Sus scrofa: one gene and its partners. The protein of the gene in region 4 interacts with the protein of the main gene of each other region in a pairwise test. Links are inferred from orthologs where the notes say so. Each region holds a gene or a part of one and is shown on either strand. Other genes may lie near its edges. The genes, in order: SH3BP5, TRIO, TRIM9, EXOC1, CCDC88A, KIF5A and SRGAP2.

Evidence for each region.
Region 1: the proteins of EXOC1 (region 4) and SH3BP5 interact in a two-hybrid assay, tested with the Homo sapiens proteins (2 studies listed by BioGRID and IntAct). The link is inferred for Sus scrofa from reciprocal best matches to the Homo sapiens genes EXOC1 and SH3BP5.
Region 2: the proteins of EXOC1 (region 4) and TRIO interact in a two-hybrid assay, tested with the Homo sapiens proteins (2 studies listed by BioGRID and IntAct). The link is inferred for Sus scrofa from reciprocal best matches to the Homo sapiens genes EXOC1 and TRIO.
Region 3: the proteins of EXOC1 (region 4) and TRIM9 interact in a two-hybrid assay, tested with the Homo sapiens proteins (2 studies listed by BioGRID and IntAct). The link is inferred for Sus scrofa from reciprocal best matches to the Homo sapiens genes EXOC1 and TRIM9.
Region 5: the proteins of EXOC1 (region 4) and CCDC88A interact in a two-hybrid assay, tested with the Homo sapiens proteins (2 studies listed by BioGRID and IntAct). The link is inferred for Sus scrofa from reciprocal best matches to the Homo sapiens genes EXOC1 and CCDC88A.
Region 6: the proteins of EXOC1 (region 4) and KIF5A interact in a two-hybrid assay, tested with the Homo sapiens proteins (2 studies listed by BioGRID and IntAct). The link is inferred for Sus scrofa from reciprocal best matches to the Homo sapiens genes EXOC1 and KIF5A.
Region 7: the proteins of EXOC1 (region 4) and SRGAP2 interact in a two-hybrid assay, tested with the Homo sapiens proteins (2 studies listed by BioGRID and IntAct). The link is inferred for Sus scrofa from reciprocal best matches to the Homo sapiens genes EXOC1 and SRGAP2.

Annotation. Positions count from the first base shown.
Region 1 is NC_010455.5:2,505,304-2,509,514, forward strand, and holds part of SH3BP5 (SH3 domain-binding protein 5), read right to left. Parts: intron 3,916-4,211; coding exon 3,696-3,915; intron 2,113-3,695; coding exon 1,852-2,112; intron 1,504-1,851; coding exon 1,295-1,503; 3' UTR 1-1,294. UniProt on the Homo sapiens protein: Functions as a guanine nucleotide exchange factor (GEF) with specificity for RAB11A and RAB25. Inhibits the auto- and transphosphorylation activity of BTK. Plays a negative regulatory role in BTK-related cytoplasmic signaling in B-cells.
Region 2 is NC_010458.4:3,906,921-3,911,131, reverse strand, and holds part of TRIO (triple functional domain protein), read right to left. Parts: intron 4,151-4,211; coding exon of another isoform or gene 4,118-4,150; exon of another isoform or gene 2,206-4,117; intron 1,872-2,205; coding exon 1,624-1,871; intron 140-1,623; coding exon 1-139. UniProt on the Homo sapiens protein: Guanine nucleotide exchange factor (GEF) for RHOA and RAC1 GTPases. Involved in coordinating actin remodeling, which is necessary for cell migration and growth. Plays a key role in the regulation of neurite outgrowth and lamellipodia formation.
Region 3 is NC_010443.5:180,827,137-180,831,882, forward strand, and holds the start of TRIM9 (E3 ubiquitin-protein ligase TRIM9), read right to left. Parts: upstream 3,117-4,746; 5' UTR 2,924-3,116; coding exon 2,102-2,923; intron 1-2,101. UniProt on the Homo sapiens protein: E3 ubiquitin-protein ligase which ubiquitinates itself in cooperation with an E2 enzyme UBE2D2/UBC4 and serves as a targeting signal for proteasomal degradation.
Region 4 is NC_010450.4:55,240,809-55,244,202, reverse strand, and holds part of EXOC1 (exocyst complex component 1), read right to left. Parts: coding exon 3,306-3,394; intron 398-3,305; coding exon 203-397; exon of another isoform or gene 1-202.
Region 5 is NC_010445.4:85,929,312-85,933,522, reverse strand, and holds part of CCDC88A (girdin), read right to left. Parts: intron 1,786-4,211; coding exon 1,526-1,785; intron 1,330-1,525; coding exon 867-1,329; intron 1-866. UniProt on the Homo sapiens protein: Bifunctional modulator of guanine nucleotide-binding proteins (G proteins). Acts as a non-receptor guanine nucleotide exchange factor which binds to and activates guanine nucleotide-binding protein G(i) alpha subunits.
Region 6 is NC_010447.5:22,847,699-22,850,717, reverse strand, and holds part of KIF5A (kinesin heavy chain), read right to left. Parts: intron 2,738-3,019; coding exon 2,710-2,737; intron 2,203-2,709; coding exon 2,124-2,202; coding exon of another isoform or gene 2,088-2,123; intron 987-2,087; coding exon of another isoform or gene 980-986; 3' UTR 1-979. UniProt on the Homo sapiens protein: Microtubule-dependent motor required for slow axonal transport of neurofilament proteins (NFH, NFM and NFL). Can induce formation of neurite-like membrane protrusions in non-neuronal cells in a ZFYVE27-dependent manner.
Region 7 is NC_010451.4:67,113,791-67,118,250, reverse strand, and holds the end of SRGAP2 (SLIT-ROBO Rho GTPase-activating protein 2), read right to left. Parts: intron 4,292-4,460; coding exon 3,908-4,291; 3' UTR 936-3,907; downstream 1-935. UniProt on the Homo sapiens protein: Postsynaptic RAC1 GTPase activating protein (GAP) that plays a key role in neuronal morphogenesis and migration mainly during development of the cerebral cortex. Regulates excitatory and inhibitory synapse maturation and density in cortical pyramidal neurons.

The DNA of each region.
Region 1 (4,211 bases), on a different chromosome or scaffold from region 4:
TTCCATGCTCTTCATTATGGCAAGAAGGTTGCCTAGGAACAGAAGATTTAGGCAACATCAGGATTTCTGATGGAAGTCAAAGAAAGTTAGACATTTTCTTAAGCCATTTTTATTACACTCAAGGTATTAAGACAAGTACAAAATAACCTCATAATTAGGATACTGTATCAATCATTAAAAAAGGAGAAAACACGATAGTATGAAGAGATTTACAAATGACAGATATATAAGCTGACAGAATTAATGGACAACTTGAATGGGGTTGCTTTTTTTTCTTTTAAAAATCGAAGTTTTAACAGAAAAGGACAAATGAAATACAAAGCTCTAAATGCATGTAACCATGAAAACAAGAACAGCAGTCACATAACATACTATTAGCATAACAGACGCCACTGCTTCTATTTAACAGCCTTTGCCAACACATGCCTACTCCCTTTCCTAGCTGGAAGGAACAGTTTCCTCTAAGAAATACTAGTGCATCATAATTTATTGTTAAAGTTACAACCTATGGAGAAATTAACACCTTGTCGATCTAGAACACTGGCAACCATTCCTCACATGCAACTTCTCTTAGAATAAGTCCCCTTGGCTGATGGGATGAGGTTTATGCTACAGAACCTTCTCCCCAACAGCCACGAACCCCCTTCTGTGACAGGCCCCTGCTGCCCTTGTCCCCCTCCCCAGACCAGCATTCACCTTTCCCACCCCCAAAAAGTGCAGCTCATGGTAAGCTTATATAGAAAATGATTTTAATGGGTGTCCCACCAAATATACTCTTCTAAAATCCCCCTCCATAAATCAGAGATAATGAACATGAACTGTGTTCTCGGATTTTTTTTTTTTTTTTTTGGAAAGCTTTCACTGGGTCAAAAAGGTGTTGAGTTTTGTCTCATGTATTTTTTTCCTTTAGATCCCAAGGGATCTAAAGGAGAAAACAGGTCATTTTCCCAGATGACCCTGGCCGGGCTCGGTTTCCCATCCCCTTTCCTGACTCGGGGTCTTTCCCAGGGACCAGTTATTGCTTCCATGACACGGTGACAAGGAACGTCCTACAAAGGCTGTGGGCCTGCTCACAGCCCACCTGCAACGACACCTCTGCGCTGAAAAACGCTCCAGCCCAAGAGCTGTCACCCAGAAGAAACATCTTCTGCCCTCAAGGTCACTGAAACGTTCTTAGTGCAGTTTAGAGGAAATGCTAGGATTTGGCATACATCAAAGGATTATTGGCACAACGCTCTCCGTACAGTTTCGTGTATAAATATCGCTGTGTGCTTAGGCCAGAGCCACGGCTGGATCAGCCGACCTGCACCATGCTCATGTCCACGAGGACCTCGTCTCTGCCCTTGGAGCCCTGCAGGGACAGCTGCCGCATCCTGTCCTCCAAGGCCCGGGCCTCGGACGGGCCACTCGGGCTCTTGCCGTTGTCACCGCCGCTGCTGCCGAGACCCCGATGACTGCCGGCTTTGTCACTCGTTTTATTTTCTGCCCCTTCTGCCCTGTCTCCTGTAGAAACGTAAAGATCAAGGCGTGAGTACCAAGCCCGTCAGCCGGCTCAACCCAGACTCTCCCAGTGCTGCTCCACCGAGCCTGTCACAGAAGCCCCTCCATCGCGTTAACGTCTCACTGCCTGTGTTTCTCGAGAAACTCCGTATATCCCTCATCTTTAGAGATGAAATCTGTCACACCCCTGTGACAGCTGGGAAACAGACCTCTCTAGCAGGTGCTTGTCAAGAGGACTATTGTGATGAGAGGCAGAAGGACGCTGATCCTGGTCAGGCACGGAGCTGGGAACCATCTCTGTCCCCACCCCAGCACGTCCCCAGCACCCCGGCATCCAGGACGGGCACTCACCTCGCTCCACCTCGCACTCAGGAGAGGAGGCCCCACTGCACTCGCTGCGAGGTCCCAGCACCGGGAACATCATCCCGAACTCCGACAGGGACACAGGGCTGGGCAGGTCCAGGCTGCCCGGCCTCACGGCCACAGGGCACCGGTCAGGCACCTCGGACGGACTTGTGGGTCCTGAGCTGAAGCTGGACACAGACTGGGTTTCCGAGTCATCTTCAGACACGAAGGTGCTGCAGTTGTCATCTTCGAAGGCCTCGGAGGCCACTAGGATGAGAGGGGACAGTCGTCACACAGGTCTGAAGGACAGCAGCCCGGCCCCTACACACCTCCAGATGTGTCCACTGCTGGAGGAGCTGGGCAGGGGCTGGGAACTGCAGGACCCGGCCACTGTGGGCACCTGATGAAAGGGACGTGGCTCGCCTGTACTCGAGTGGCCAGGCTCTGGAGCACCCTGAAGAGAAGCCGCTGGGCCCCGTGGCTGGTCAGTATCCTTCCCGTCACTTTACAGCCCCTGCCTTGGAAGTCACCGTCACCAGACCCTGCCTCATGATGGAAGGTGAATTCAGCCAAAGATACGGGGCTTTTCTTCACCCCAGTCCCCAAGATAGATCCCCAAGAGCACAGGAAGAGGGCTGGCCTGCCCAATGCATCCTAAACAAAGCCAGCCAGACTTGAGGAATCTTCCTCCGTTCTGTGGGAGCAGCAGGAGCTGCTGGACGAGACAGCTCTGTGCGGAATGTCTGCTGGGACCTCTGTCTCCCTCCAAGTAACTTGTGATCCCATAAAAGACATGCTTAGAGCCCACAGAGATCACCATTTGCCACAAAACAAAAACAAAAACAAGCCCACAATACCTTTATGTTGCTCTGTAGCTTGTGCCTTACTCGTTTTGTGGACCAGAATAAGCAAGGCCCAGAGATTCTGGTGGTTTAAAAGCTGCCTCGGCCTTAAACTATTTACTCCTCAGCCCACATGCCATCCCACGCCCTTGTCCTCCTCCCTCAGCTTTAAAAACGACCTGTGGCATCCCATGGAGGACTGGCGCCCATGAGAAGGACTGTGATGCTGGGCACAGACAGTGGGCTCAGATCTGAGAGCAAATCCTTTCTCCGCTATATGCTCTGTAGCCTCAGTCAAGTTACTGAACCTCTCTCAGGTTCATGTTCCTCTCCTCACAGGTTTACGAGATGGTGAGCACTAATGTGCTCACATCACTGATGCTCAAATTATAATTCCTTCTTTTACCTGGGGCCTGACGCGTGAACATCTGTTGGCTGAATTAAAGCCCACCTGAGGAAGGTGGCAAGAGCCATCACTCCACAGAAGGGGCAAAAAAAGGTCCCGGAGGCGGCACTGGGGGAGGGAGCGGGGGTTCTGGATTGACATAGGGGGAGCCGAAGCAACTCTCTGAGTCAGTTTCCCAGGGGTGGCCAGACACCACATGCATTGTCCATTGGGGGCTGGCACTCCTTCAATTAAACCTGACCACTGCTCTACACAGTGGACATCAGGGACTATCATGTGCCCTGCTTTACTGGGGAAGAAAGAGATAGAAGTTACATGCTTGCCCGCATCACGTACTAGTCATGGTGCAAAGGCCAGGACTCGAATCAAATCGGATTCCAAAGTCCCTATTCCAGACAACTCTTCATCCCTGCAGGACTTCTCAGAGCCTGGAATGCCCTCATATTACTTGGGGATGAGAGTGTGACATTTTCCAAACATGACCACAGAATCCTGATTCTGCAGATACACAGCAGCATCTTGGTGACTAGTGTCCCAAAACAGGGTGGGAAGGGGGTGGGGGAGAGAAGAGCAGGAGCAGGCCACATGCACCCCCAACTCACCAGAAACAGCATCGGGCTCGGGCTTGCCCCCTGACAGGTCCTCAGTGGCTGTGCTGCCCCCCTCAGCGCCGACGCCACGGCCGCGGGGCCCCATGGCACTGGAGCGCCGCCGCTCATGGATCTCATCCGAGATGGTCTCCAGGTTCCTCAGGGCCGTCTTGTACTCGCCCTTCGCCAGGGCCAGCTTGGCCTGCAGCTCATCCACTGTCTTCTTCAGCTGCTGCTCAGAGAGAGCAGGAGGCTCAGTGAGCGAGGCTGCCGGTCCATCCACCCACCCCCACCCTCTGCCTCAGGATGCTCTTGAGTGACTGACAGGTTCAAACACGCGCGCCTATCACTCCACTCTCAAGACCCCTTCCCATCAGATACAAGAGCAGCCACCACCCACCAGCTCCCAGCCTGGTGACAACTTTAAGTAGGTCACCCAGAAACCACTACTGGGAATAAACCCATCAGGGCGTCAGGGACCCACAGAAGTCCCACATTCCAGCCACCAGATCTAGGAGCTGTGGTTCT
Region 2 (4,211 bases), on a different chromosome or scaffold from region 4:
CTTCACAGATACCTTGTTGCTGAGGCCTTCCCGGGACTTGCGATAACCGTTCTCTAACTTGCCTTCCCGTTTGCCGTCTTTATCTTTTTTCTCAGATTTTTTCCTTAAACGGAGTGCTGTGTGCCAAGATGTTGACTTCCTAGGGGGAAATGACCCATTGTTAGTATTCTGCCCTCCCAGTGGTCAGCAGATGATGCCTGAAAACATCAGCGAGAAGCTGACTGATACTCCTTTAGCAATAGTTATCTCTGCTAAGGAAAACTTTTTTGCCATAACTCAATAACCAGAGATAAAGCCAACAGTTCTTCTACCAAATTTTAAGGATTAAAATAGAAAAGTGTCTGTGATGGTTTACTTTTATGCATCAACTTGACTGGACCTCAATATTTGGTCAAACATCATTCTGGGTGTTTCTGGATGAGAGTGACATTTTAGTTGATAGAGTAAAGCAGACTGCCCTCCACGGTGTGGTGGGCCTCAACCAATCAGTTGAAGGCCTCAGTGGAATAACAACAACAAAAGACTGGCCTCCCTGAGCAAGAGAGAATTTTCCTACAGGCTACCTTTAGACTTTATCTGCACCACTGGCTCTCTTGGAGCTCCAGACTGCTAGTCCACAGTGCAGATCTGGACTTGTCAGTCTGCACAATTGAATGAGCCAAATTGTTATAATAACCCAACCCCCCACCCTTCCCCTGCCCCCTCCCCACACCCTATTGGTTCTATTTCTCTGGAAAACTCTAATACAAGGCCAAAGAATATTCTTGAGAAAACAAAGTATAAAATGGGATTCTTGTACAATGTATAAGAATAAAATAGTTCCTGTATTAAGGAGGAACAGAAAAAAGGACTATCATGGAAGATAAGACCTTTGTAGCCTGAACTCAAGCCTGGATGCCCATGGGTGCAAGCTCTGAGCCCAGAGATAGTGGGCTAGAAGCAGTGCTGGAATGCTGCCCAGTCTGGGCTGCAAACCCAGCCCAGTATACTGCCGTGCTTGGGGAGGAACACAGCCACTGTCATGCCTTTGAGCCTGGTTTTTGGGGCTGAAGCTTTTGGAGGCTTAAAGATCACCATTTTGCAATGGTCCATTCCCAGGAGCCATCGGCTGGCTTCTCCCATAGCCAGAGAGATTCAGGGAAGGGCAGAGTTTGAAACCAGCACCTGAACTTAGTTTTCTTTAAAATAATGTCTAAGGCAGCAAAGTTCGTTTCAAGTGTTTCAACTGAAGTGACCTAGTAGGTATAAAGCATAATGGTAGTGGCACCACATCTATCTTTGGCTGCCGCTTACGGAATGAGCATCTTCATGGACGCACCCTCATGACGCCCAATCAGGGGTGTGGGGGCCTTGTAAAGTCCTCACCCTTCACCCCCAAACCTCTGGGAACTAAAATATCGTTGGCCTCTATCTAGTAGCTTAAAAAAGCCACATGTGTGCAAATACTTTTCTCTTATTAAAAGAACCCCTCAGAACAAACAGATGGAAGGCTACCTCATCTTCACTAAGGGACTCACCATGTACTTATGGACAAGCTTGTTTGACAGGCTTTACCCTCCAGAGCCTCTGCACTTCATTTGGGCTCGGCCCCCGCCCCGCATGGTGGCCCCAGTGGGCACTCACTTGAGAGTCCCATCGGGGTTCTCCACAATGACTGCACTGGTGTGCCCCAGGACGAAGCCCGGAATCCAGCCCTCAGCTGCGGGGCACTGGTCAGTGGCGGCTCGGAACACCAGAAACATGTTCTGTTGATTGCTGGCCAGAATTTGAACGACCTCTCCTTGATAGACGTTTATCTCATCCTCCTTCACTGCCGTGTAATCGTGTGTCACCAACATGGTGGAGATGTTGCTACTGCTGCTACTTTCACTCTGTAGAGGGAGAGATGAACAAAAAGGCAGAGGGGAACTGAAACAAGATCTGATGACAGGAAACTGCTTGGCAGCCTGTGCCATGGCATGGCGGCCCAGGGCAGGGCTCACCAGAACCCTGCACCCTTCCTCCACACTCTCTGGCTAACTTGGTGCCCCTTTTTCCATAACTGACAAATCAGGATTTCTCTAGGAAGCAATTTAGTAGCAATCTAGAAAAAAAAAAAAACAAAAAACAAAAAACCAAACAATCATGGTGATGGTGACACTTTACTTTGGAAGCATGATTATTTCGGTCTCATCATCCACGCACCAGCAAAAGCAACAGCTCATCCTCACACTGGCACCATGCCCATGCTGGGTTCTATCCATGTCGCAGTAATGTCAATGTGACCATCTCTCCCATGTTAAAAGGTATCATTAAATTAAAAAGCCGCAGAGAGTAGCTCTTTCAGTCCACCGATGATAGGTCAGATCATGGAGAAGTCCCCAAATCTGCCAGATAAAATGTTCATTGAGAACGCAGATGCCAGAATCACGTTGAGCTGCTGGCATCCTAATTTATTTCCACATGTTTGCCTTGTAGAAGAAGAATGAGCGATCGCTGAAACATCAATAAACTACTGCTCTGCTCTCAGGGACCTGCTCTGCCTCCTTCACGTGTTCCTTGGTGGAAGGCCCTCTTGTGAGCCTGTGTGATTCCAGAGTCGCGAAGGTGCTGCTGCATGGGGGCAGCCCTGGCATGAGAAAGCCTATCTTGCCCTTATCCTGGGGTCACGGTGCCACCCGATCTCCGTGGGTCACTGCTGTGTCTTTAGTGTCCATCACAGGGAATGAAATGTAGCAGGCACTCACTGCCTGTTCAGGAACTCAGTCAATGAGGAAAGATTGCAAAATTAAAACAATCATCATTTCTCAAGGCCACCTACCAGGCCCACAAGCTGAGTGGTGATAGCGGCTGAGGCAATGACATACAAATGATAGTACTTGTCCCAAGCTGTCGTTCACCGATGGACCCCCTTGTTCCAGAGGAGGAGGAGGAAGCTGAGACCACTGCCAATTCTGAGTTACATCCTGCCCGGTCCCCCTTCTCAATTGCCGGGATGTGGAAATGGCGTCAGGCACCCTGTTCCTGTCAGCTTGTTCTCAGAGGCTCTCAGCGAAGACGCCTGGACGTTCGCAGATTCCCAGTACTCCCAGGACACTAGCCTCCTCTGGGCTCTCAGACGCCTGGGGCAAGACTTGGGTTGTTGGTGTGACTGTCAGGAGGCTTGCTACACTCCTGTCAGCTCTGAGCTACTGAGTTGGCATCAGGACACACTGGAGCAGATGGCCAGCCACCGTCAAAGAGCCCGAGTGCTGGGAATTGCAGGGGCCCGGGCTGGGACTCTGGGCCTACAGTGGATGTTGAAGTTAAATACAGTGGAGTGCTGGTGCTTGTTCCTGTGCCAGCTGAGGACTCTGGTGTGTGTTCCCACCCCTTGTGGGTGCCCACGCTGCCCACGTCAGGCTTTGCACGCTCATTCATGCAATTTTACCCCTTTAGCATGTATTTTAGTATTGTGACTATAGAGCAACACCCAATAGTTTTGAGACTATAAAGCCACATTTGCTAGAAAACATAAACAAAAACCAACGGCTGTGGCATGGCTGTTTTGGGTAATATAGCATATATATAATAAAGAAAATCAGTCTCATAATTTGAATATTTTGCCACAATAATAGCAGCTATTGGTAGTTTCTGGAAACCTCCTATGTACCGGTCTTAGGCATTTAAAAAATCTCTCATTTAATGCCAGTGGGTAGAGGTTAAAAATTTGCACAGGCCACCGGGCCTCTGCAAGAAAGGTGGGCTGTACTTTTATTGCTGCCCGGGTGTGTGGGTGGGTGCAGGGAGGCCGTGTGTCCACGGGTGGGGCTGGCACAGTCACTGTCTGGGTTGATCCACAATCACTCCACTCTTGCTCTCAGCAGAACTTTCTAGAAGGTGCCCATTAAAGGAGGAAGAAGGACCTGGGATGTGGGTTAGGCACACCTTCTTGGCCGTGACCGCAGACAACTTCAAGGAAGCAGACAAGGAGGAAGGAGGCCGCTGCTGGCCCTCCCGGGGGGTGGCATCAGGTAGGGCAGCAGTTCTTTTTAAATGAAATACTCAAGAGCTCTACAGATGGTTTCCGAGGCCCATCCTAAGCCTCCAGTGGTCTTCCCAGGCCTCCAGGGCATTTCTTTAAGGCATTGGGATTCATCTAAAACACTGGCAATTCCCCTTGACAGGTTACCTACCACATAAGAAACAGTGAGAGGAAGAAATAAGAGGCAACTTTTGCAATCTAAAACCTG
Region 3 (4,746 bases), on a different chromosome or scaffold from region 4:
GGTTTGACCATCCTAATTAGCTTGTACCTCTAAGTCTTCTAGACAGGATGATTAATTTCTAAAATTCCAAGGATAGTCTTGTGGGCAATTTGAACATAGGTAATAATGAACAGTTTAAGAGCGAAATCATAATATGAAGAAAAAATTGTCCACAAACAAGTTTTTAAAATTTCAAAAATTAAATATTTAAAAATTTAAATTGAAATGTTTAAAAAATAGTGGCATGTGCCTTAGGTGGGGGCTCAAATTTGTGCTAAATTGAATCTCCATCAGTACTCATGTGGCTTAATCGGTCATAGGGGAGGCTGTAAACATGGATCACCTTCAATTAATATTGAGTTGAGCTTTCCTATTGCTAAAAATGGTGATCATTTATTTTTTCTTGCTGTAAATAAAACATTCAAGACTTAAGCCCAGGGCCTTTCTCAAAGACTAAACTTTCTAGTCTCCAAGGAATGGTGGGACACTGAGTGGGGAATAGCTGAGGCCTGAACACCATCTCTGCTGCCCTACCTCATCCTTGGGCTTGCAGCTCAATGATGTGAAGTAAACCTCCTGAACCCCTGCTTTGCCCTTTGCAACCCCGACTAAATGGATTATTTAAAAAGTAAAAGTCAAATTCATGCACATCTTCTCAAGAGTGGTTTCCTTCTTCTAAGCAGTGTGGGCAATAACATTATAAAGATCTCTTTCCTCATGAAGTGTGTGTGTGTGTGTGTGTGTGTGTGTGGTTGAGGGAGCAATAGATAAATACAAAAGTAACTTGATAATTAAAATATACAGCATGTTAGTTAGTGATAAGTACTATTGAGAAAAATAAAACAGGGAGAGAACTAGGGGATCAGAAGGTCTCACTGCAAGGGTGAAGTCTAAGCAATGATCTGAAGGAGGCAAGAGAGTGAACTATTCAGATACAGGGTATGGTCTCAGGCTGAAGGAATATCAAATGCAAAGGCCCTGGGGCCAGAAGGGACCTGGTGGTGGTGGAGGAACAAGAGGGACAGGGTGGCTGAAGCAGAGGGAATGTGAGGAAACGAATTTGATGAGAACAAACTGGAGCAGATCATGTAAGGCCCTGGTGTATCATCTAAGGGCCGTCTAGGAAAAGTGGGGGACAATTGGAGGATTGTGAAAAGAGTAGTGGCATGACTTAAGTTGTTAAAGGCCCTGTTCTTGAAGCTAGCTTTGGCAGAGGTGACATCAAAAGAGGTAAGAGATAAATTTGTTAACAGCAGTCTCAAAGTTACACAGACAACTACTGACAAAAGGAAAGGGTTGAATCCTGGACAAATGGGTGTGTGGGTGATCAGTAGGAGGGGGATAGCTGGGGATTGTGAGATGCACCTGCCTAGCTTTCAGGTCGCGACCGTGCAGAAACCTCCAGTCCTGCTACTCCCGCCCAGATAGATTCCCTCTGCAAGGGTCAGGGCCGCAGCCTTCAGGCCGCGTTGTCATGGCGACTACAGGATTTTTTTTTTTTTCCTTCAACCCACTCCCCACTCATAAGCCTTCTGCGCGCAAAGCACCCTGACCCGCATCCTTTACAGACCGGACGCGGGGTCTCGGCCAGCGCCGACGTATCAGTATTCTGTTCGTGGCTCTTTTCCCCACCCCCACCGCGACTCCAGGCGTCAGCCTATCCAGGAGCTCCAGCTCCCAGTGGTCTGCCTGCTCAGCCGCCCCCATCTTCTCCCTGGGGGATCACGGCTGGAGCCCCACAACCACCTCTGCCCTGGAGCGTCCCTGGCAGCCCCAAGCATAGCCGCGGGTTGGCCCAGTTATGCATCGTTTTCCCGCACGCTGGTGGCGGCCTAGAGCTGCCGGTCAGCTCCGGGAGTGGGCGACCTGCACCCGGCTCGCAGGCAGCGCGCCCCGGGAGACCCGCTCTACGCACCCCCGAAACAAGTCTCTAGAGAGGTTCCACTCCCCTGTGCGCCGTGTAAGGTCCCTCTGCGCCTCCTGCAATGCGCAAGGCAGGGGAAGCAGGTATTTGAGGCACCTGCATTGCGCCCCCGCTGGTATGCACTGTGCGCCAAAGGACAGTGCGAAACCAGAAGATCAGAGGTGCGGGGAGTTAGGGATGGGTTTTCTTAGGACTCACCTTGTGCAGTTTCCACATGGCCCCCAATGCCTTGACTTCGTGGCTGGAGTGCTTGCCTTCCTCTAAGCACTGGTAGCACACGGGCATCTTGCACTGCACGCAGTACATGCTGTGGTTCTCCAGCTCGTGGTCTGTACAGGTGGAGACCTTTCGCGGGCTCAGCCGCCGGCTCACCCGGCCTTGGGCCGGGGGCACCAGGCGGTGCTTGGCTAGGGGCCCCCGGGGTGGGTGGCAGCGCAGGCGGCACGGATCACAGTAGAAGACATCGCACTGTTCGCACATGACGGTGGCCTCCTTGGGCGCCTTCTCGCAGAGCTGGCACTTAAGGGCCGCCGCTTTGCTCTGCTGGTAGCGGTCAATTACCCCTTCCAGGACGCGGTTCTTGGGAAAGCCGCGGAGTCCCCGGTCATCCAGGATGAGGCTGCGGTGGCACTGGGGGCAGGTGATACAGGAGTTGCGGGGCACCGGGGCCAAGGCCGGTGACAGGTGGGTGGCCGGTGGCGGCATAGCTGGGGGAAACACTCGAACGCCGTTGGGGGACTTCTGGCACGGGGTAGTGGGGGCGCTGGCGAAACCCCCGTAGGAGCCATAGCCGCTGTCCGCCTCGCTGTACAGGCTCATCTTGTCCAGGTCTAGATAGTCATAGTCGGAGACCCCGGAGCCCGAGGCCCGTCGGCTTTGAGGGGACTCCGACTCCGGGGTCTGCACCAGGATGTTGCGGGCGCACGCCTGACATATATTGTGAGAGCAGGGCAGTATGATGGGCTCCCGGTAGAAGGAGCCACACACGGGGCATTTTAATTCTTCTTCCATCTCTTCCATGGGGACTGGGCTGGGAGCGAAGCAGCGGCGGCTGCAACCGGCGCCTGAGCTGACGAGTGGCCGACGGGCCTGTCTTGTCCAGCACCTTGGCCAGCAGCGGCGGCTGTGGCAGTGGCGCCTTTCCGTGTCGCCTAGGCGCCGACTCCTGGTGAGGCGCTCTCTCTGTGAGCCACAGAACAGCAGCGGCGCGCGCCAACCTGGGGCCGCCCCCTCCTATCCTCCTAGTCCCGCCCCAGCTTATAAACAGCGGCCTATTGGACGGCGGGCGAGAGAGCAAAGTTCTCATTGGCCACAAGGCCCGTCCTTCTCTCTCCTCCGCAGGCCACAGGGGGTTTGGTGGAGGACTCTGAGGATGTGGGGAATCTTCGCTCCCGGCTTCAAGATCTCGGGAGGGGGCCGGCGCGCGGAGGCGAGGGGACCGGGAAAGAGGAATTAGGCGGGATGACTCATCCCTCGCCTCGCTTCCTTCCGACCTCCGGCGCAGTCACCCGAGAGCGGGGCGTGAGAAACCCCTCCCCGCAGCGAGGGGGCTGGCGGAGGGGCTGGTGCTTGCCGCTAGCGTCTGCGTTTGGTTTGTTTGGTTTGCAGCTCTGGTCTCCGCGCCGACCTCCCCTCGGTTGGCACTGCGCCTCGCAGGGGACCCTCCTTTTTCCGCTGCTGGCACCGCCTCACCCAGGCCTAGGTTTCTGTACTGCAGCCGGGCGTTTCTCCCCCTCAGGAATCCGAGAAAGCCCGCCCCTGGCGCTGCCGCATCCCGTAGTCTGACGGCGCCGGCCGCGAGCCCCTGAGGGAGTCTCTTCGCTTCTTTCACCCTGTTTTTTTGCTGTCTCAAAGGTGATTTATAATATCGACTACCTAATGTTGCCATGAGATTTAAACTAGGTCATGGGTGTAAAGGTTTGGTATATTAGTTAAAAGCTTTGCCCCCTTCATTTCACGCTTTCAATTCAGGCTCGGCCCTTGAGGCTGCTTACTGTTTGGTGTGAACGTTTCTAGGTCCCCTGCCCCCTCTCAGTTACAACCACTCCCCACCCCCCGCAGCGCCCAAATCTCAGGCAGTGCCTGGCTGAGCTTTCACAAGGCCAGCAGAACCTTTGGTTCAACTGAGGCAGAAATGGGTTGCCTGAGTGCCTATAGTTTAGAAAACTAGTTCTGGACACGAAACGTTGTGTCACTGTGAAGTCTCATGTGTCTCCAAATAGACTTATTCAATGTTATGTGGCCCGAGCATCTACCACAGCTTCCAGGATGATGGTTTCTTTCCATTTCTTCAGGGAAAGTGTGTGGCGATGATGGTGATGGGGGGGGGACTAGTTCTAGTGTTAGTCTTCATATACTAAGCATGCTTCTCCCTCTCCCCAAACATTGCTGCCCCTTGCCGGTGGAACTGATTGGGTTTTTTTGTTTCGTTTCGTTTTTGTAATGAGATGTATTTATTTTGGTTTTCAATCATTAAAGTATTTTTCTAGTTCTTGAAGATGTGTCTAATTTATCCAACAAACATACACAGTAATAACATAATGGCAACAAGAAAATTGCTTTCAGGAAGCCAGATTAGGAAAAGGGGGCCAGAATGAGAAATCAGAATTTAGAGTCCTCTAATTTTTTCTTTTAAAAAGTTTAAAGACTAGTACAATGAACACCCATATTGACACTCTTCACCTGGGTTCCACTAGTCGTTAAATATGTTATAAATACCATGTTTGCTTTATCACTAATATCTTCCTCAGGCTCAACAGATCCCAGTGTTGTCTGAGACTTTTTTTTTTAAGGGCTGCACACCCAGCACCTGGAAGTTCCCAGGCTAGGGATCAAATCCCAGC
Region 4 (3,394 bases):
ATGTAAAATAAACAGGAATAGTCACATAAACTTGTATAAATATTAATCCTTTTGGCCTCACAACTCATCGATCTGCTCTGTACATTAGGGAACTTTCCTCGTGCTAACATTAGAAAATGTCCAGCCTTTCTAGAGGACTATTACAGAAAAAAGCAATTGTGTGCGGCTGTGCATCTAGGATGGTCAGACGACCGAAGCATACCTGCAGTAGGTTCTCCTCTTCGCACAGGTGCTTATCGACCTTCTTGTAGAGGTTGTCCAGGCCTTTTTTCACCTCCTTCCCAGGATACTCTCTGATAACTTTCCGGAGCTCCTGCTTGTTAAATGCAAGCTGATAGCTTACTTCCTCCTCTCTTATACCCTGTGCTACCCGAGCTTCAACACCTTCAAAGAAATGCTGCAAGGAATGAAAAGGAAGTGGCTAAGAACTGCTGTCATTGTCACGTCAATTTAAAAACAAAATCTGGTTATAAAGTAGTATCTATTCACTGTGTAAAAATCGGACAAGTGTGAAAATATAAAGGATACAACAACCGGAGTTCCTGTCGTGGCGCAGTGGTTAACAAATCTGACCAGGAACCATGAGGTTGCAGGTTTGATCCCTGGCCTTGCTCAGTGGGTTAAGGATCCAGTGTTGCCATGAGCTGTGGTGTAGGTTGCAGATGCGGCTCGGATCCTGTGTTGCTGTGGCTGGGTGTAGGCCGGTGGCTACAGCTCTGATTAGACTCCTAGCCTGGGAACCTCCATATGCCACAGGAGCGGCCCTAGAAAAGGCAAAAAGACAAAAAAAAAAAAAAAAAAAAAAAGGATACAACAACCATCAGCTATTATCATACCTCTCAGAGATAATCACTGTTAACATTTTAGGTTTCCTTTTGGTCTTTTGATGTGTGAGTACATAAATGAGATTGTAAATTTGCATGTTGTATTTCCCATTCAATATTTTATAGGTTTTTTCCAATGAAGAAAGTTTAATGGCTGCATAAATATTCCATCCAATTACTGAACTACAGTTTGTTTATTCATTCCTACAGTATTAGGTACTTAATATTTTTCACTTTTTTTCCCTTGGAGGTGGCAAAATCTACTTGTTAAAAAAAAGTTTATTATTGGAGTTCCCATCATGGTGCAGTGGAAAGGAATCTGACTAGGAACCTTGAGGTTGCGGGTTCGATCCCTGGCCTTGCTCAGTGGGTTAAGGATCCAGTGCTGCAGTGAGCTGTGGTGTAGTTAGCAGATGTGGCTCAGATCTGGCGTTGCTGTGGCTGTGGTGTAGGCTGGCAGCTGCAGCTCTGATTTGACTCCTAGCCAAGGAACCTCCATGTGCTGTGGGTGTGGCCTGAAAAAAAAAAGTCATAATACTATAAGTTTAGTTGCCATAAATAACTTTCATACATAGGTATTTACCCACATTATTGATTACTATCCAGTATAAATTTCTAGGAGTATAATTCCTGAGTAGTATAATTGTAAGAATTCTGAAGATTCTTCATATTACACAAATTGCTTCCCAGAAAAGTTCAATCAATTTTTATTTCTGTCAATAGCGTATGAGACTGTTATCTCACCATCATCAGCATTATCATAATTAAAAAAACCTTTGCCATTTTAAAAAGTGAAAGAGGTTTACCTGTCACTACATTTTACAATTCTTTGGCTATAAATGAAGTCAACCTGCTTTTCATATGCTTAGTAGTAGTACATTCCAAACCCTTGCTTATTTATATATTGGGATCTTAGTGCTTTTTTAATTGATTTTAAAAAGATCTTTTATATTAAATATACTGACTGTTGTATTGTTAGAAATATTCTTCTCAGATGTCTTCTAGTATAATTGGGTTTTCAATATGCACAGTGATTGGCAAGCCTTCATTTGAGCACAATATGATTTAATACTGACAAGTATTAAATCCCCTCTCATTATTTTTCTCTAAAATTTTCTTAGCAATTATTATTTATTTATTCCTCATTAAATTATTAATTATTTGACAGTAATTTTTTGGACAAGCCTATTCCTGGTGCTTTTAAAAATTTGTTTCTACAAAGACTTTTTTTTTTTCTTTTCCAGGGCTGTACCCACGGCATATGGAGGTTCCTAGGCTAGGGGTCTAATTGGAGCTATAGCTGCCGGCATATACCACAGCCACAGCAACGCAGGATCCAAGCCACATCTGCGACCTACACCACAGCTAACGGCAACACCGGATCCTTAACCCACTGAGTGAGGCCAGGGATTGAACCCGCAACCTCATGGTTCCTAGTTGGATTTGTTAACCATTGAGCCACGACGGGAACTCCTACAAAGACTTTTAATTCGTTATTAAAACATACAGGAAGTAGATTGTCTTTTTGATATATTTATTTTGAACCCTACCACTTTACCAGACTAAATAATTTCAACATATTATATAGAGGTAATTATAATTCTGCCTCTCCTTTCTATATTGTTATGTTTCAGGTCTTACTGCATCTGTTAGAGCTTCCATATCAATGTTAAATAATAAAAGATCTACCAATGTTTCCGCTTTAAATTTGATTTCAAAGGGCGTGTCTCTCTGTTGCAGTGAAGTATCATGTAGGCTTTAAGTCTGGGACATACCTTTTACCCTAAAGGAGTATCTTTCTGTTCTTAAGTTTTATAAGGAATTGGCTCTATATTTAATTAAATGTCTTTTAAGTATTTCTTTGAATTGCTGACAACAGATACATCATTTTTATTTGACTCTAAGTTCAAACTGAAAACCTGTAGAAGATGACTAATCATACTTTGGCTAAAAGTCAGTGAGAAGGGGCCATTTAGATTCTACTACATTGCAAAGTTCTCTAAATCATCACTTCTTACTTGTTCTGATCAGACTTGCTCTGAGGAATGACAAGAAATGAAGAGAAAAGAAAAGGTAATGAACAAACCAACTTTTGGTTTTCCTCTTATCTTGATGCGAACTAGGCACGCAGGTTAGCCATTTAAGAGGTAAGGAATGGAAGGGTCTGGTAAAATGGAAAAGCCAAAATCTAGTCCATGCCCAGCTCTGCTACCTGCCAGTGCCAACTCTGTTCTGACTTTCAGTTGCTTCACCTGTATAATGGGGTAACACCATCTAATCCCACATCATGCTCACAAGAATTAAAAGAAGTAAAGCGTGCAGAACATCTAGTAGTGTCTTGCTTGCTGGCAACTGCAGCATCTGGGTCCCTCCTTCCTCATCCGTCCACATCAGTACGTAAACAAATTCAAAATTAGTATCTACTGTGTTATTCACACACGTACACACAAGGAAAAATATACTGAATGAAAATACACCCACATTTAGCTTTTCAAGAGGTTGTCCTAAAGAGTAAATGACGTAAGACTGAAGGTGGTCTGTGTATTTTTGTTTGGCTTCTTTTTTTTCAG
Region 5 (4,211 bases), on a different chromosome or scaffold from region 4:
TGGTAATTATAGCATGCAACCATTTTAACATTCTTCTAGGTATCAAAATAACAATCTCTTACTAGGTGACAAGAAATGTGAAAGAGGAGCTTGTATTGTTAAGGTTTTTAAAATCATGCAGAAAATGTACAATGCAGTTAATATTTCATGCAAGCTTTCTTGTGGTTACACAGTCTCATTTATATACATGCCACAATATACATCTGAACACTATGCCACAATTTAAAAATATAAATCTAGCCAAATGTTACTTTCCAACAGCAGCTCTTCCAATCAGATTAGAGAAGCATAGTGCATATGAAATGACATCATACACATTTTGTGCAATTTTTATCATACACAACCATACTCATACCAAACAGTTTGATTATCCTCAGAAACCAACAATGCGGTTTCTGTGTCCTTAGGATAGGGACATGCAGGAGTGATAAGATCACTGCTATCTACAGAAGACTGTGAGTTACTATTACTACAGTTCTGACTATCATAAAACTGCTCGTTATTTTTCCGTACAGCTTTATCCAAAGAAGCAGAAGCCTGGTCAATTACTCTGGTGACTGATCTGGGAGGCAACCCACTTATGTTACTGACTAATTCTGTATTTAGAGATAAAAATGGCTGAGATGGATAAGCCACAGTAAAGGACTCTAAGCTGTCTTTAGCTGATATTCCAAGTGCATCATTAAACATATTACTAGTGGCAAAAGTTTGGTTTAGAAAATATGACTTTTCTGCTCTTAAGTTTCTGGTCTGGGCATATGGAGACTTGGGCTTGTCTGTACCTAAATTATTTTGTGCTTGAGAGCCTACAGGATATGCTGGACCGTGAAGTGTATGAGAGGACCACGGGTATAAATGGTACTCACTAGATGCTGCAGTGATGCTGCTATCAGCAGTAGCTGGTGGTGAATCAACTGACATAGGTAGTCTACTGTCTTTTGTCAAAAAATCATGGATACTTGTCCTTCGAGTAGTTCCTTCGGCAGTAGAGATCACACTGCTTGCACGAGGTAAAGTGGCATAAGGATTACTATCTTTTGATTGTCGTGACAGAGAAGTTTCTTTTACTAACTTTATCTTTCCTTGAGTGCCTAGTGTAGACTTTCCTGAAGAACTAATGAAATAGGTATCTTCAGTCTTTTGAGGACCAGGTCTCACAAACTGTTCAGGCTTAGTTGTCCGTCTGTCATAGAAGTCTCCAGGAGTTTTTCCACTTACTGACCTGGCCAGACCACAGCTAACTGGTTTGTTTTTTCCCAAAAAGTCAGAAGATACAGACAAACTTTTCATTACTTCATCTAAAAGATTCTCTTGACTTGAGGGCTTTATCTATTAAAAAAAAAAATCAGAGCAGATTAGAGAATACAGCCATGCTTTTTTAATTCCCTGATAGAGGAGCCTGTACAATAAAAAACTGCTAATGTCCCTAAACACTCCTTAACTTAAAAAAAGGCTCTAAAGTTCAACCACAGAAATTTAACTTGTAGCGTCCATCTAAATTAGGGTTACCATAGATAAAACTCACCTGTATTGAGGTAAGCTTGTTGCTTTCTTCCAAAAACTGTTGTAGAGTAACAACTTCACTTCCAGGGGAACCACTTTTGATCTTGCGATGTGCTCGACTCTCTAGTGTTTTGTGCTGGAGCACTGGACTTGATCTGGTTTGTCTTTTCAAGTACTGGATTGGACTGCTACCACTGCTGGACCAGGCTTCATGCTCATGAAGCAGGCTAAATTCTCCACTGCTGTGGCTTTGTGGCCTGCTTTGGATATTAACTGCACCTGCTTTTGGAGTAAATGGTATGTTAAGAGTTCAATAACTGAACTGAGATTAAAACTATGTAAGTACTGACATTTGTTGACTGGATTCTTGTGAACAGTCAAACTGACTTTGACAGCTTTCTTTAGACATGCTTAGTAAACCATGTTAATCTTTCATTAGTCTAACAACTGTTCACCAGAGCCTGCTTCAAGGGCAGACTTGCCTTCACCACCATACCCAGAGCCTAACCATACAAAGCAGGCACTCAATACATCTGATAAGAAAGCGAATGAATGAATAAGTGAATAAGACATTTTAAAAAATTCAAGTTCAAATAATTGTAAAAGGCCTCACAATTTAGAACAAAACATGATTACATGAATTTTAAATTATTTGAGAATGTTAAAATCAAAAACTCTCTTGAAATGCTAAAAATTCTTTTTTAAAAATTTTATTTATTTTTTTTAGTGGCTGCACCTTTGGCATATGGAAATTCCTGGGCTAGGGGCTGAATCAGAGCTGCAGTTACGGGCCTATGCCACAGCCACGGCAACATGGGATCTGAGCCGCATCTGTGACCTATAATGTATATTGCAGCAATGGTGGATCCTCAACTCACTGAGAGAGGCCAAGGATCTAACCCGCATCCTCACAGACACTATACAGGGTTCTGAACCCACTGAGCCACAAGAGGAACTCCATTAAAAAATTGTAATTTTTGACTTTCTTCTTTTTATTGGCCATACCCATGTATGCAGAACTTCCCAGGCCAGAAGATGGAACCCACACCATAGCAGTGACCCAAGCCATAGCAGTGACAATGCCAGATCCTTAACCAGTAGGCCACCTGGGAACTCCCATTTTCTGATTTTCTGTGAGGTCTTTATTCCTTATTTGAAGGCTTCTCTGTTCATCCTAAATGAATATCTGGACTATCTGATTCTTCTTGCTTTCCACTCTTGGCATGGTGTCTATAGAGCCTCAAGATTCAGTTGAGGTTGAACTACTATACAAAATGCAAACTACTAGTTCTGGGAAAAAGCTTCCTAAAGTTTATGCTATTCCTTAAGAATGCTTATTCATTTTGATCAATTGCAAACTGTACGGATACAGCATCAGATAGAAAATGCAACTTTTTACAAGGAGATCCTGCTGAGTAGCATTGAGAGCTATGTCTAGATACTCATATTGCAACAGAACAAAGGGTGGGGGAAAAATGTATACATGTAAGGATAACTTGATCCCCTTGCTGTACAGTGGGAAAAAAATAAATAAAAAAAAAAGAAAAAGAAAAAAGTAAAAAAAGAAAATGCAACTTTCCATGGTTTCCTAATCACAGAGAATAAAGTGGGTCATGAAAGATTTTGGCTCAAGCTATGTGACATTTTATAGAAAAGAGATTTTCTCAAATTTTCAAATCAGAGAAGACTTCTTCACATTTTCAGACTATATTTTTTAACAGGATACAAGAACATGATTTTATATATTTTTTTTAGGGCTGCACCTGCAGCATAGAGAAGTTCCCAGGCTGGGGGTCGAATTGGAGCTACAGCTGCTGGCCTACACCACAACTACAGCAACATGGGATCTCAGCCACATCTGCCACCTATACCATGCCTCATGGCAATGCTGGATCCTTAACCCATTGAGTGGGGCCAGGGATTGAACCTGCATCCTCATGGATGCTAGTCAGATTCGTTTCTACTGTGCCACAAAGGGAGCCCCAAGAACATAACCATAAAGACAAAAAATAATCTTTCCTTGAAATCGGATTTTCCTGTTCACTGCAACAGAGCATTAATAAAATAAAATTACAACTGAAATAAAATGTTATAAATACGAAAAAGCAATAGGACAAATGCACTCATTATAATTTAAAAATTCCGGACTGTAGAGAAAAACCACTTTAACAAACTTTTTTTTTTTTTGTCTTTTTCCTATTTCTTGGGCCGCTTCCACGGCATATGGAGGTTCCCAGGCTAGGGGTCCAATCGGAGCTGTAGCCACTAGCCTACACCAGAGCCACAGCAACGCGGGATCCGAGCCGTGTCTGCAACCTACACCACAGCTCACGGCAACGCCGGATCGTTAACCCACTGAGCAAGGGCAGGGACCGAACCCACAACCTCATGGTTCCTAGTCGGATTCGTTAACCACTGTGCCACGACGGGAACTCCTTAACAAACTTTTTAAATCTATTAAATAATTCCTGAGTAGGAAGTATACCTTTAAAGAAAAAGGTATTAATTAGTCAATGCTTCCAGACATTTACATAAAAACTTCACCTTGGAGGCAAAAAATACCTTGAATTTTTTTTTTTTTTTGGCTGTGCTCTTGCATGGGATCAAACTTGTGCCACAGCAATGACCTGAGCCATAGCAGAGACAACACCGGATCATTAATCTGCTGAGCCACTAGGGAATTTCACACCAATTTTTTTTTTTTGTCT
Region 6 (3,019 bases), on a different chromosome or scaffold from region 4:
GAAGCCCCCAAACCAAAAGCTGGAAGTGGGAAGGACATGCAGCCCAGTGTGGAACAGAGAAAGGAATCCAGCTCATCCCTGTGGCAAAAAATACTTAGGAATTTTCCAGCCTGTTTACCCCCCAAAGCCAAAGAAGCAATCATTTTGCTTATACTTAGCTATAACTATCACTGTGGACAGATGAGCAACCATTTTGCCAGACATGGGTCAGCCTCCTCAATTTTTCAAAATAATTTTAAGCAGCTCTGGGTTCTGGTCATGAGCACTGCAGTAGAAAATATTAAAAGGAGTTTTGAGGAGAAAGGGAAGTGGTCCCTTAAGTAATCCATGTTCTGGGTTGTCCAGGGGGAACGGGAGGAGGGAGGCAAAAGGCAGACTTCGGAGGGCAGAGGTGCACACCCGGAATCCCTCCATTCGGGTGAGGGACGTCTGAAGACAATTCTCCATATATTTAGCAGTCCTTCCATTTTACCCTCCCCTGTGCTAAATGTGAGAGAGAAGGGAGGAAGAATCTATTTCTGTATCTTCTTATGACGCCAAGACATTCTTCTGCTTAAGGCTTTGTGTGTGCATGTGTGTGTGTGTGTGTGTGTGTGTGTGTGTGTGTGTGTGTGTGTGTGTGAAGGATCACAGCCCTCTAGCTCCCATTTTCCTTTTATCATCTCTTTGACTAACACCACTCAGTGTGAGAGACGCATATATGAGAGAAAGAAACATTGACCCTCCTCCCTATGGCCCCAAATGAGGAGGGTATACTATGCTTAGAAATTGCTAAATACATCATTAGATACTAGAGAGTAAGACAGAGAGAAGGGAGAGACATAGCAGCAGCTTTTGATATATAGATACAGAGTACAAAGAGATACAGAGTAAGAGAAGACATCAAACGTAGTACAGTCAAACAACAAGGGTTGAGGAGGGAGTTAGTATCAGAGACCACAGGTTTGCAGCATGCTGAGAGAAGAGGCCTCAGTCCCTCTTAGAAACTGGGGAAGAAAGAGAAAGACATTGTGAGGAACCACCTTGCAGCCCAGCTGCTGAACGGGAACAGTGTGGCATCTGTACCAACTTCGGCTTACAGTCCTGTCCCTTTGATACCCAAAACCAGACGCCACCCTCCCAGCCCCTGCTCCTCCACCCCCAGGCCTTCCTGAACTCTTCCTCCCCCACTCCTACTGATTGCTTCTCATGCCTTTCTGCCCATGTGTGCCTGGCCTATTATTCTGGGAAACCCCTGGAGAGGGCTGGGCTTGGGATGCAGTCCAGGGGGAGACTGGCTGTGTTCTCTTGTTTCTCATTCGCCAAGGATCCACAGTGGACAATAAACAGGATCCCATTGCCCAGGATTCTGGGATTCTGAGCCCTAAAGCAACCCTGGTGAGAAGCCTGGTGACACAGGAGAACCAGGAAGGAAGGTATACACTGCAGGGAGAGCACAGAGGATGGGGGATAGGACCTGGGACAGAGGCAGAGAAGGGGGCTTGGAGGTGGGCACACAGCTCTTTTCTACCTCCACTGGCAAGATGGGAGGGGAGTGCTGACCCTGCAGTTAGAGGGACAAAAAGTTAGACTTCCTGGGGCATTTTCTAATGCTTATTGGTGACATATACAGACATGAGGAATATAGGACACAGGGGTAGGAGTAAGTCAAACATCACCTTTACTGGAGATGTCTTAATTCAGAAAGTACTTGCCATCCAAAATCATTTTAGGGTGGAGGCAGAGGGATGGTTGAGATGATCTCCCAAGGTCTCCTAATAGCTCCTACATCCTGCTGTGATCTGTGTTTGGGGCTCTAGATGGACCCTGCCCTTGCCCACTTCTTTTGACATGTTGCAGTGACCCCTAGTGGCCAAAGGCAGTACTGTGACTACAACAGTGGTCAAGCTAAGGGGGGAGGGGAAGGAAGCCAGCGTGCAAAGGACATGGGGTGGCTCTGATGGAACCCCCCCGGGAAGGGACAGCAGGAGTTGAGGGACAACTATATAGTAAAAAATTTGAGATGATTTTAAAAAGCGAGAGAAACAGAAGCTGTGGGCAAGAAAGGAGGCAACCCGAGGCTGGTCAGAGAAGGGGCCTGAAACTACCTGAAAGTGCAGGTACGCAGCAGTCCATGTGGGAGATTAGCTGGCTGCCGTCTCTTGGTGGAGAGGGAACAGCTTGGCCTGGTCCTCAGCCTCATAGCCGCATGGCAGGTCACTCCTGGAAGAAGAGACCCAGCACAATCACAGCATTGTCAGCTCTGTATCAACCATAGCATTCCTGTCACTTTGCTCTCTCAGCATCCCTGTGAGATAACGAAGGGCAGCAATATGGGGGGCAGGGGGAGAAATCAAGGCCAGAGAGATGGAGCCAACTTGCCCAAGGTGACAAAGTCCCCAAAGGCAGAGATAAACCCAGGTCATCAGATGCCCATGGCACTTCCCGCAGCCTCCATGGCTGGGATGGGGAGGAGCTATGGGGGGAGAAGCTATGGGGAGGATGGGGAGGAGCTATGGGGGGACTGGAGGAGGGGACAGTGCTCTGCACTGAGGCAGCAGAATGACCAGACCTCCTGGACAGCAGGGTGATGGCAAGAGGGACCGATGGTTCTCACTTCCTCCTCCTTCCCTCAAAGGCTCCAGGGAACCTCTACGTAGGCACGAGTGAAATTTAACCCTTTCTTCTGGTCCCACCCAGAGAACCCAAGAGAAATGGGGACTGGTGTACCTATTGTCATTAATATCTGTGGTGTTTCCTGAAGAGATGATCGTCATGGAGAACACAGGATTGAAAGAAGGAAAAAAAGAGACTGGGTGTTATAACCAGTCACCCCAAACCCTCTCTCCTCCTGATCCCTTGGCGAAAAAGCTAAGAGTCTTGGGATCATAGGTGTCATCTGGGTCTGTGGCACTGTCTTCAACTACCCCATGCTGCCTCCTTATTCGGTTGGAAAAAAAGCCTCCAGAGCTGTCACTGAGGAGAGAAGGGGAAGGGAGGGGAAGGGTGGGGACAGGCAGGTGACTGGAGGAATCCACTT
Region 7 (4,460 bases), on a different chromosome or scaffold from region 4:
TCAAATTATTACCTTTGGATAACTTCACTCTCAAACTTTTTTTTTTTGGTCTTTTCTAGGGCCACCCCCGCCCCCACCCGGGCATACGGAGGTTCCCAGGCTAGGGGTCTATTCGGAGCTGTAGCTGCTGACCTACACCAGAGCCACAGCAATGCGGGATCCGAGCCACGTCTGCGACCTACACCACAGCTCATGGCAGCGCCGGCTCCTTAACCCACTGAGCGAGGGCAGGGATCGAACCTGCAACCTAGCTGGTTCCTAGCTGGATTTGTTAACCACTGAGCCACAATGGGAACTCCCCACTCTCAAACTTAAGAGTCTGCTGGAATCAAAATCCAGAGGAGAGAAAGCATTCCCTATGCTCCACCCCACGCCCGTACTCAACAACAGCGAGCAGCACAAACACATGGCGAAGCTCTTCCTCCAGAAGCTGGGGGCTGCCCAGGGCAGAATCACCCACGGCCTTGGTCGTGGAAGAAAGAAAATCATCAGTCCCCCTTGGTTGTGGCTGGCAAAGCTTCCAAGCAACTTCGCAGGCTCCACTCTTGCAAGTGGGGAAATCTGACTTAGAGACAGAAATGAGAACAGTCCTCCCTGAGCGGGGAGAGGTGGATTCAGTGGAGGAAATGGTTCCCATGGCAACAGGCCGCCCAATGGTGAGCAGGAAGACTTGCTACACAATCTCTTAGGTTCCCCACATGGGCTAAATGAAAATGTTGGTGGGGGGTGTGTGTGAGGAATCCACATTCTAAATGCACCTCTGCTGTGTCTTGCTGGGGGAGGGAGGAGATGGTTGGCTCCTGAGGTCACCCCATCTCTCCTTCTGTTGCTGGGCAGGGCTCCATTACCACGGACAAATCAAAATCCCTCCTGGGCAGCGGGACTCCTGGATTGGCGATTCCAGGGAGAGGAGAAGGGATATAAACTGCAGCATGGAAACCTAAAAACGTATTTTATTTCGAAGTTGTGCTTTGGATTTTCCCCAATCCAACATCTGTTGAGTGACAGTCTTAGGTTCACACAAAGCATCTCCAAGCATACATACAATATTCCAGTTATCAACACTATTTTAAAGAATATACCATTTTACACAAACGTGACATACAAGCCAGACGCCACAACATTGCAATTCCCTGGAAGATCTAACTTCTCTTCTGAACATGAAGTACATGTACACCAGCCCTTCCAGTGGTCGGTTCCTCCTGTTGCTGGCGTCATCTCTCCTCAACTCTTTGGGGAGAAACCAGGGTGTGCCCTGAGGAGGTTGGCTGAGACCAGTGTTTCCAGTTTCCAGGCTGCTGGCTGCAAACTCCTCTCTTTTCCAAACTGGGATGCTGGAAGCCCCACCCCACCTCTGTCTCCCAAAGACCAACCCATCAGAGTCCACATCAGGAAGAGAATCCACGCCTCCAGGGGCAGAGAGGGGCTCTCTGAAGCATCATGCTGGTTTAGGCAAGCATATCGGAGGAAGACTGGTCTCCCTAGGCCCTGGGGGGCCAGCTCCGTTTGGCTTTTCGGTGTAAAAATCACAGTGTGCAACCTCGATTCCAGTTGATGGCAATGAGCTCTGCCGAGGAAGGACTCTCCTCCTGGGGTTCCTAGTCCCCTGGACGGGACCCTCTCACAGGTGGCAGGAGCACCAGAGGTGGGAAGACAGCTCGACTCCCAGATCGGGGGGTAGCAGGTGACCACGCACACACTGTCCAGTTCGTGATGCACATCAGCAGACGGACCCTGACCAAGGGGACGGTGAACACAAGTCAGGTTCAGGGCTGCAAGAGAAATGAGGCAGAGCAACAGAACAGACCCAAGGTGGCGTCCCTAAGGAAGCCCTGCCTTTCCTTTCTCAAAGAAGGATGAGCTGGAGCAAGGGCAGAAGGGCAGCTATGGGCACCCATTTTGACTAGTTGGAGCAAAAGGAATGTCAGATGAAGGGTGGGGTTTCATTGTCGGCAAGGAAACAGATCCCTGGGGATGAAAGCCCCCTGTTGGCTCAGGACCTGTGTAAGTCCAGGTGACAGACAAGGACAGGCACTCAACAGAGCAACAAAAGTCAAGAATCCAGAGGACCGTGGGTTGCCTCTCACAGGCCGACTCACTGAAGGCGTTCTTCATCTCCCCCTCTTAGCTCTTGGGATGGTTTTCCTGGTGTTGCAGCCTACTCTTCTAACCAGTGACTTCCCACCATGCTCCTCTTTTCCTTTGCACAGAATGGGGAAAATTCTACTGTGTTCCACAGAGCCAACTACCAACTTCCCAATGTTGGTCCAAAAAAGGATCTTCTAGGCCAAAGATAAGAAAATTCAGTTTCCTATCCGAATGGCAACCCACTATTTTCCTGAACTGCGGAAAATAAGGCAAAAAGCACAGCTTTAAAACCAGAAAACAGAGAAGAGGAATGCATTTCAGTTTTTAACTCAAGTAGTTATCCGAGACCCAGCAGCCTGGGGTGTGAGTGGTCCCAGCCCTGGACCTCCTGGGACCGCATGATGCTAGGAGAGCTGGGACCATGGGCTTCAGATCTGGAGAGGGAATTAAAGCAGTCAAGGTGTCATTTTTGCTTTTGGCAGAGGACCCAGAAAAAAAGGCCAAAGGAAGGCCCAAATATTCAGCATCCAATTTTTAATTTTCTTCGATTCAGTCCTTGGAAAGACTTTAGAGCCCATGGGGCCAAAGTTCTCTTAGTTGTCCTTGTCTGGATAAATAAACCAATTCTAAGGGGCGATGTCTCTCTTTAATCTAACTAGGGCTCCCTAAGCCCCCACTGGTCCCTGAAGAGAGACCCTGTAGATTAACCCAATGAGGGGATCCACTGAGAGTAGATTTTCATCTGGGAACAATTTTAAGGTTAGAAAAGCTGCATTTAATTTTTAATAGGATAATGAATTTTATGTCTTAAGTACCCAAAAAAGTGGAAGGAAGAGGACCCATTTCTTACCATTTCCAAGCCTGCCATAAACACAATAAAACTCTCTTAAGACTCTTCACCCTAAAAGGAACCAACTATAAAATTGTCTTATACAGGAAAATGTCTTAAGTGGAAAATGGTCCATCAGAGACGAAGATAGAAACCCAAGAAATGTCTATACATTCAGAAAAACCTCAGAAGTTCCATAGTAGGATTGGGTTGCAGTTCTAGAGAATGGAGGAGAGCAAAAGCAAACACCAATGACCAATTCACACCGATAGAAATAAGACAGAGAGGAAGCCCCCAACCCCAAACAGATTGCAGGATTGAGTCCCATCCTGCTAAATTTCAAATGATGGAGAGATTTCAAAGGCTAGGTTCTCTGGCCCAGACAGAACAAGATTTGTAACGGAAACAGAGACCCCTGGTGGCTCCTGTGTGAACTGCCACAATAACTTACAAAGAGACTGGTCTATCTAGGACCAGGAGGCTACACATGCCAGAGACTAGAAAAATCTACGTGTGTGTGTTTGTGTGTGTGTGTGTGTGTAAAACGGAGAATGGACTGTATATGATTCTCTATAATCAGTACCCAAAACAAGATGCCACTGAGAGCTGGCTGTCCCCAGCCAATCATCTGGTTAGGCATCCCCTGTATCTGCGGGGACGGAGGCTTCAGCCCACTGCCCCCTGACTTGCCTCGCCAGATTTCACAGTGACCTGATAATGGAAAAATTTATCTCTGGCTAACCTAAGAACAGTATGTACTGGCTGGATTACAACGACTGGGGGAAGCAGAGGGCAGAGGGAAGGGAGGGGGAGGGCAGAGCGAGAACGAGGGCTCCGTTCGCAAGGTTTGGGGTGACGGGAAGGCTAAATCCTGCAAGAACAACTTAGAATCTAATTTTCAACTGAAGTCCCCAAGCTAGTTAAATAGGAAGATTTTAATAACAGTCAGTCCCTCCAGTCCCCTTGTCTAGAACAATTAAATTACACCCCTCAGACAGTACAAGACTTGTCATTGGACTGTGGGGAGGCCGAGGAGTTGACACCGGGGCTAGTGGCATTTGTTTTGGGGAAGACAGCGGGCTTGGGTCGCGTGGCTGGCGGCTTGACCGGGGCCGCCATCTTGACGGACTTGACGGGCCGGAAGGCGCAGGCGATGTCCCCAGCGGTGCTGGCGCTGCGCTGGAAGGCCGGCTCGGGGTCCTTGAGGAGCTGGGTGTGCAGGGGGCTGGAGGGCTCTGACGTGGGGGCCACCACGGGGGAGGTCTTGAGGGGCTCCAAGGTATCCAGGACCACATCCGGGGTGTGCTTGACGCTGCTCTGCCGCTCTAGCTCCCGCAGCTCGTTCAGGGCAGAGTTCATGGTCGCTTCAATATCCTGGGGACAGGAGAAGGGAGGGAGTGAGGCTCGCGCGGGGAGAGGCCCCCCCACCCCCTGGGGCGGGCGGGCGGGGGGCGCTATTTCAACAACCTGGGCCAAATCATGGAGAAACCAACTGGAAAGAGATGTCCAGATGCTTTCTTTCGGCCCCAATCTTTGAACACAT